Drosophila melanogaster: one gene and its partner. The protein of the gene in region 1 purifies or fractionates together with the protein of each later gene. This does not show direct contact. Each region holds a gene or a part of one and is shown in the gene's direction. Other genes may lie near its edges. The genes, in order: Hnf4 and Sirt1.

Region 1 (3,922 bases):
GCGCATCATCCAAATAATACTATTTTCCGAATCAAGAATCCGATATTTTCTAATCTCAGATTACGATTTGCCCACCTCAGTGTGAGGCATCAAAATTTTTTTGCAATACTAACGATGACGCGGTCGGAAAAAAAGTGAACTCTAACGATGACTTGGCTAAAAATATAAAAATTACACCGCAGCCTGTTTCCCCCTCCCGCGGAGTGTGCGAGCGAAACGGCTGCGGTGGGCGAGAGAGATGGCGAGTGTGGGGCGAGACAGTTTTATGCGCGAAATGTTAGCAAACGAGTATTATGGTTTCTTATTTACCTTTTTTATTCGTTGCTGTTTCAGTGTATGTTTGCTTTTTCCTCTCCAACTGGTAGAACAACAACATTAAGTGTAAGAAAACAACAAATGCACACCCATAAACAGAGAGATAAGAACTTTTGGCAGTTGTATTTTTTACTTAAACTTCTCTTGGTCGAGCAACTGCTCTTATTTCGAGTTGGATTTTCAAGCGGTGAGGATATGTTTCAGGTGTATAATATCGGAATTGTCGGTGTACCGTGATTAACTGTCTGAGAATCTGTAAACAAAGTGAACAATTTGCTGTTTGGAGTGCAATCATGAAAAGTCTATTCAAATTGTAAATGTTTGCCAATCAATTACCTTTTAGAGAATTCCCTGCATATGAAAACTAATAAGGCAAATAGTGGAAAATCTGTGGGAACCACCCACTGCGAACGCTTCGAGATAATAACAGTATTTATACACCTATTAAAATGGTAATTGAAAGAATATTTTTTTAAATAATTATTTTAAATAATTCCATTCTATTCAATTTTCAAAAACAAGTATTCCTTAAAATCGACTGTACGAGCACTTTTATTGTTGTTTATTAAAAGTAACTACTATTTTCCGTCGATGCCTATTTTCCGCTTTACTAGTATTTCTATTTTCTCTCTTTCTCCGTCTCCCCAAATGATTTTCTCACACACGCAAACAGTCTCTCATAACGATGTCCAAATTAAAGCCGGCTTTTTTGTACACATTTTATTTATTTATTTGTTTATTCGTTTGGCCGATGTCGTTGTCGTTGATGTTGTTGTTGTTGCTTTTGCTCTTGCTTCTGCTTCTGTCCATTAAATGAATTTCTATCTCTGCGGCTGCGTGCCTCTGTGTTGGTGAGAGCCCCAAGTCTGGTTTTGGGGTCTCGCTCCCTCTCTGCGGGAAAGAAAGAGAGGGGTCGACATATGCAAACACAGTTGAATTGATTTAAGCGTCGATTAACGCACACACTCAAAACGCACGGTGGGAATTCGAGCTTTTTAAAACTAAATTTAGAAACTTCAGAACGCGTGGTGACGTGGTGATATATTGATATGATCGCACTTCAGAATACCTAACCAACTATGTTAGAATATAAAACTTCCAAAACAGAAATGTTAATAAGATTTAGAGGGGAAATTCATTATTTATTCGTTTATTAAAAAGTATTTTTTTGTAATAATATTATTTTCATATCCATGTCAAAAAGCTTACATAAAGCATTATGGAACATTATTAAACAGCTTTTATTTGTTTTCATAGAAAGAGAGTAATATTTATTAACGTAGAATTTTCTGAAATCAGACCACTGTGCGGTGGCGCAGAGAGAGCAGGAGAGGTGCCAAGAAACAACATACGATACCGCGACTGAAAAATTTCGAGTCGTGTGTTTTTTCATTAATCAGTTGCATTAAAATGGTGCGCAAGTCCGGTAGAGTTAAGATTTCTAGTCGCGATCGCGTTGCCGTTGGCAACATTCTGCTGCGTGGCAAAGTGGGCGGTGGGCGGGTGGCAGTTGCAGCGGCAGAGGAGGCAGAGGCGGGGCGACGTCGACGCAGGCGCGACAGCAGCGCCAGCCGAACTGCATCCAGTGACGGTCAGTTGTTGCTTTTATTTTTAATATTGTTGTTATTTGTGCAGTTTCTGTTTGTTGCTATTGCGCGATTTTTCGCTGGTTTTCACACAATCCCAACTCTATGACCACTGTGTATCGTACGTTATACAGCTGCGATCGAAATAAAAGAAAAACTAACAAAAATACCAGTAAATAATTTTTATTGGTACATATATACCTTTTTATGAAAAAATAGTAGTCTTAAAGGAACACATACACATTATTTAGTATCGACTTCATATTATATATGATAAAGAAAATTATTTCTCTATTAGACTCTGTGCAGAAATTTCGGACTGTGTATGTTTTTAATTGCTCTTTGATTGCAAAGATTGTCCGTGGATTTAAAATGGCATATCCAGTTGCTGCAAAACCTTAGCGAGGAATTTGCGTAGGCATGATCAAATTCTAAAACTGTGCGTGCGCCCAGCACCCGCAGCTTCAAAACTGTGGATCTCACCATGACGGAACACTTTTTACAACAAAGCGATTTACATTTGAAGATTAGAATATTTTCCATTTTAAAGAAGTAGAACTAGTTCGACTGGGCTGGTGGGGTTATGACTTTAAGAAGTATTTCAACAGTTTATATTGCTCACTTATTTACTGTACATATATTAAAGTTTAAGGCCGCCCTCGTAACATTTAAGACTGTGTCAGGAATATATGTACGTTTTTCTAATGAAGATTTTGTTCATACAACTCATCTTATGAATAACACTTTTACCTGCTTTTCGTTGCAGAATCGGAGAGCCACATAATGCACGCGGATGCCCTGGCCTCTGCCTATCCGGCTGCCTCGCAGCCCCACAGTCCGATCGGCCTCGCCCTCAGCCCCAATGGCGGTGGGCTGGGACTGAGCAACAGTAGCAACCAGAGCAGCGAGAACTTTGCGCTCTGCAACGGAAACGGAAATGCGGGCAGCGCAGGAGGCGGAAGTGCCAGCAGTGGCAGCAACAACAACAACAGCATGTTCTCACCCAACAACAACTTGAGCGGAAGCGGAAGTGGGACTAACAGCAGTCAGCAGCAATTGCAGCAGCAACAACAACAGCAATCACCGACGGTCTGCGCCATTTGTGGAGATCGGGCGACGGGCAAACATTATGGAGCCTCCAGCTGCGACGGCTGCAAAGGATTCTTCAGGAGGAGTGTCAGGAAAAATCATCAGTACACTTGCAGGTACACATATGTCCTTATACGGGACTAGTAGGGAGATTAAGATTTTCCCAATGCCAAATTTCCAGTCAGAAATAATTTGTATAATTCATAACGATAACCCTGGTGGGACGTGTCGGGACCTGGCGGAAAATTCTAAGTTTACGACTATCTATACGCATTCGTTACTCAACTTAAACTTCTCTTGGCAGATTTGCGCGAAACTGCGTTGTGGACAAGGACAAACGGAATCAGTGCCGCTACTGCCGGCTGAGGAAGTGCTTCAAGGCGGGCATGAAGAAGGAGGCGGTGCAAAACGAGCGGGATCGCATTAGCTGCCGCCGCACCTCCAATGACGACCCGGATCCGGGCAATGGGCTGTCTGTGATTTCCTTGGTTAAGGCGGAGAATGAGTCGCGTCAGTCGAAGGCAGGCGCTGCCATGGAGCCAAACATTAACGAGGACCTCTCCAACAAGCAGTTCGCGAGCATCAACGATGTCTGCGAGTCGATGAAGCAGCAGCTGCTGACCCTGGTGGAATGGGCTAAGCAGATTCCGGCCTTTAACGAGCTGCAGCTGGATGACCAGGTGGCACTGCTACGCGCCCATGCTGGCGAGCATTTGCTCCTCGGCCTGTCTCGTCGTTCGATGCACTTGAAGGATGTTCTCCTGCTGAGCAACAATTGTGTGATCACAAGGCACTGTCCAGGTAATGTTTTTGATACTATCAAAACCTATAAGTGAAATTGGTATAACCTTTGCAATCATTCTTTTTCCAGATCCCCTTGTGTCGCCGAATTTGGACATCTCCCGGATCGGCGCCCGTATCATCGATGAACT
Region 2 (3,922 bases), 4.5 Mb from region 1:
GCAAACATTCCTGTATGAAAAATAATACTATGCATATCAGGACGAACAGCGGCACCAGGAAGCAGACTTCATCTACGCTGAAAGTGCCCAGGATGAGCCACAAATCGAGGCAGAGATACCGCGCCTGCAGGAGCCACAACCACATGCACTAAGCCGTCTGGCACTGTACGCCCTCAAAGTGAGACGACTGTCCGTCCTCGTCTTCCTGCTGTCGTGGCTGCGGCTTATAGTCCGTCATTTGCACTTCCTCGGCGTTCTTTGGGATCACTATCGGCTGTCTGGGAGGGAGTAAGTCCTCCAGCATGGCCAACTGCGGTGCCGTGGCAAAGTCGTTGTCCGGAAACTTAACCTTAAACTTCATGTAGAGATCTCCACTGTCGGTGGCCTTGTTAAAAACAGGCATACCACTGCCTCGCACCATCTTGATCTGGTTGTGCTGCAACACTTCACCAGGGTACGTGCGCAGACAGACGTTTCGTCCATCCAAGTGCTTGAAACAATGCGAGTAGCCGCACAAGGCCTCCGTGATGTTGATCTCCAGGTCTCGCATGTACAGATTGGCATGGCGGCGCTGAAAGATTGGATGTTCCATCTGGGAGATGACTACAATCAGATCCCCAAATTCGCCGCCTCGCATTTGGTGGCCCTCATTTGCGAAGGGAACTTTTAGCATGTGCGGTGCTCCTCGCTCCACAACCAGGTCCCGCTTCATCTTCTGCTCTACGAAACCACTGCCCTGGCAGGGACTGCACTTCTTGTCGTCCCTTATGGTGAAGCCCCTGCCATCGCAAGTCGGACAGGTCTGCAAAAAAAAATAATTTAAATAATCTGCTCCGAAGTGTGGTATATGGGATCTCCACGGATGTGTGGTCCGCGGTGTGCATTCACTACAACTACAATCAATTCTTACATACCGTATCGAAGGGGCTGAGACCCATGAAGGTAAATGCGGCCGCTCGTCCAGCTCCGCCGCAGGTCTCGCAGCTCTCGTGCGCTTCCTTGGGACCGCCATCGCCGTTACACTTGGAGCACAGCTTCTGGCGATTGTACTCCACCTTCTTCTTCATGCCGCCGACGTAGATCTCCTCCAGGGTCAGCTCCACTTTTACCACGACTTTGCCATTGCGCCTGCCCCGACCTTCGGACGAGACTCGATCGAAGGGGAACCACTGGGCGAAGAATTCGGAGGCATCAGAGAATCCCTCGGCGCCCTCTTGCAGGCCCTTCAATCCATATCGGTCGTAGATGCGCCGCTTCTCGGGATCGGACAGCACTTCGTAGGCGAAGGATATTTCTTTAAACTTGTCGCCCGCATCGGGATTCTTGTCTGGATGGAACTCTTTTGCCAATTTTCGGTAGTTCTATTGGTGAAAAGGTGAATACAAACTATTTACCAACATATCGAATTGGAACTGTTACATACCTTTTTTATTTCCTCATCAGTTGCATCCGGAGCCACTTTAAGAACGTCGTATAAATTTAGGTTGTCCATTTCCTATTGCATCCCCAGTCCCCCTACAAACTAAAATATTTTGTACATTGTAAGTGTACGACTTATTAAATTATTTAACAATGTATTTATGACAATATTTTCAAGTCATATTGGCTAACAAGTATGCCCAAGTTCTACCAAAAACCTATAATTTTGGGGAAAGTACCAAATAAATACTTAAAATCGCAGCTTTTTTGGGGAACAGTAGACACTTGCTGGAACGTTCTGGAAATCTGTTTACACATTTTTGTATTTAACAGCTTGATGGAAGTTTTTGGACATATGAACTGCATATTATCAATACATCAATTTATAATACTACTATGAAATGTGTAAATATTGGACAAAAAAATTATTTTTACTTAATTGTTTAAATATCGAGTAAATTTGATAAGTAAAAGAGTGCTAAAATTAAAGTTCGAAGCATAATTTAAAATTAATTTTACTAACTTTTTGACAAATTATTGATATATTTTAAACAGTTTTTAAAGAAATGGATTAAATTAGATATGACATAAGGCAGTGGCCACTGTAGCAACACGTAATCACCCTCAAAAATCCCAAAAAATACTAAAAACATACCGTGATGAGTCATGCTGGCGGCACTTTCCATGCAGAAACGCGTTAGCACTTTCCACACGACGTGTCAGGGTCCCACCCGAATCACGTCTGCCAGCCCACATACACACACAGGCGCAGCTACGTGTGCCATCTTGCTTTTTTCATCGGAAAATTTTCCAGAAACTACGCTCGAAAATTACGAAAAAATCGCAACCAAATGGTGTCGAAATTTTTTTAAAATTTAAGTTTCGTGCATATACGTGAAATAAAGTCGGGTTGGTTGAAAAAATCGCGGCCAAACGATCGCTGGAGAATTTTTTCAATCAAGCCAAATGGGTGCGAAGCTGACGACGTAAAAATTTTTGTGTGTACCAACGAAAGAGCGGAGAAAACGGACGAGGCGAGAGCGCAAAGCGGAGAGACCGAGGAAACACTCGCGCAAGAAGAAGAAGAGCCAGCAACAGCACCAACTACGAGAGTTTTCTCTCCGTGAGTCTGTGTGTGTGCGCGTGTGCGCGCGCTTGGGTTCGGAAAAAATGATGGAAAATTACGAGGAAATTCGCCTGGGCCACATTAGGTCTAAAGATCTGGGCAACCAGGTGCCAGACACTACGCAATTCTATCCGCCAACTAAGTTTGATTTTGGCGCGGAAATTCTGGCCTCAACGTCAACAGAGGCAGAGGCAGAGGCAGAAGCAACAGCAACAACCACAGAACCAGCAACAAGCGAACTTGCTGGCAAAGCAAATGGTGAAATCAAAACAAAAACATTGGCTGCCAGGGAAGAACAAGAGATTGGCGCCAATTTGGAGCATAAAACCAAAAATCCCACAAAGTCAATGGGCGAGGATGAAGATGACGAGGAGGAGGAGGAAGAGGACGATGAGGAGGAGGAGGAGGACGACGAGGAGGGAATCACCGGAACGAGCAACGAGGATGAGGACTCCAGCTCAAATTGCTCCTCATCCGTGGAACCCGACTGGAAGCTGCGCTGGTTGCAACGAGAATTTTACACAGGTCGTGTGCCGCGCCAGGTTATTGCCAGCATTATGCCGCATTTCGCCACCGGCCTGGCGGGCGACACCGACGACTCCGTGCTGTGGGACTATTTGGCCCACCTGTTGAACGAGCCGAAGCGGCGCAACAAGCTGGCCTCAGTGAACACCTTCGACGATGTCATCAGTTTGGTCAAGAAATCACAGAAGATCATTGTGCTAACGGGAGCCGGAGTATCCGTCTCCTGCGGCATTCCGGACTTCCGGTCCACCAATGGCATATATGCGCGATTGGCCCATGATTTTCCCGATCTGCCCGATCCGCAGGCCATGTTTGATATCAACTACTTCAAGAGGGATCCACGACCGTTCTACAAGTTTGCCCGCGAGATATATCCCGGCGAGTTTCAGCCCTCACCCTGCCATCGTTTCATCAAAATGCTGGAGACCAAGGGCAAACTGTTGCGCAACTACACACAGAACATCGACACCCTCGAGCGGGTGGCAGGCATTCAGCGAGTAATCGAGTGTCACGGCTCCTTTTCAACGGCCTCGTGCACCAAGTGTCGTTTCAAGTGCAACGCTGACGCCCTGCGGGCGGACATATTTGCCCAGCGAATTCCGGTGTGCCCGCAGTGCCAGCCCAATAAGGAGCAGAGCGTGGATGCCTCGGTGGCCGTTACTGAGGAGGAGCTGCGCCAACTGGTCGAGAACGGCATCATGAAGCCGGATATCGTCTTTTTCGGCGAGGGTAGGTGCCATTTTTATACAGATTTATTATATATTATCAATAGCCTTGGTAAAATAAATGCAAGAATTTCAAATTCGACGATCAAAAGAAGTGTTTATTTAAGAGATAAACTATTGAAAATAC

Evidence for each region.
Region 2: the proteins of Hnf4 (region 1) and Sirt1 purify together in Drosophila melanogaster (affinity purification with western blotting, with the first as the bait; one study listed by BioGRID). This does not show direct contact.

What each region holds. Positions count from the first base shown.
Region 1 is NT_033779.5:8,688,998-8,692,919, reverse strand, and holds the start of Hnf4 (hepatocyte nuclear factor 4), read left to right. Parts: upstream 1-1,710; 5' UTR 1,711-1,725; coding exon 1,726-1,906; intron 1,907-2,667; coding exon 2,668-3,106; intron 3,107-3,294; coding exon 3,295-3,791; intron 3,792-3,861; coding exon 3,862-3,922. UniProt on the Drosophila melanogaster protein: Transcriptionally controlled transcription factor. Important for the differentiation of various specialized cell types that arise from both endoderm and mesoderm. May have a role in early gut formation.
Region 2 is NT_033779.5:13,163,402-13,167,323, forward strand, and holds the start of Sirt1 (sirtuin 1), read left to right. Parts: upstream 1-2,162; 5' UTR 2,163-2,589; coding exon 2,590-3,799; intron 3,800-3,922. Other genes in the region: DnaJ-H (DnaJ homolog), read right to left, coding at 149-802, 915-1,361, 1,424-1,492. UniProt on the Drosophila melanogaster protein: NAD-dependent histone deacetylase involved in heterochromatic silencing. Mildly suppresses the heterochromatin-mediated silencing phenomenon known as position-effect variegation (PEV). Required for epigenetic silencing of the polycomb group proteins.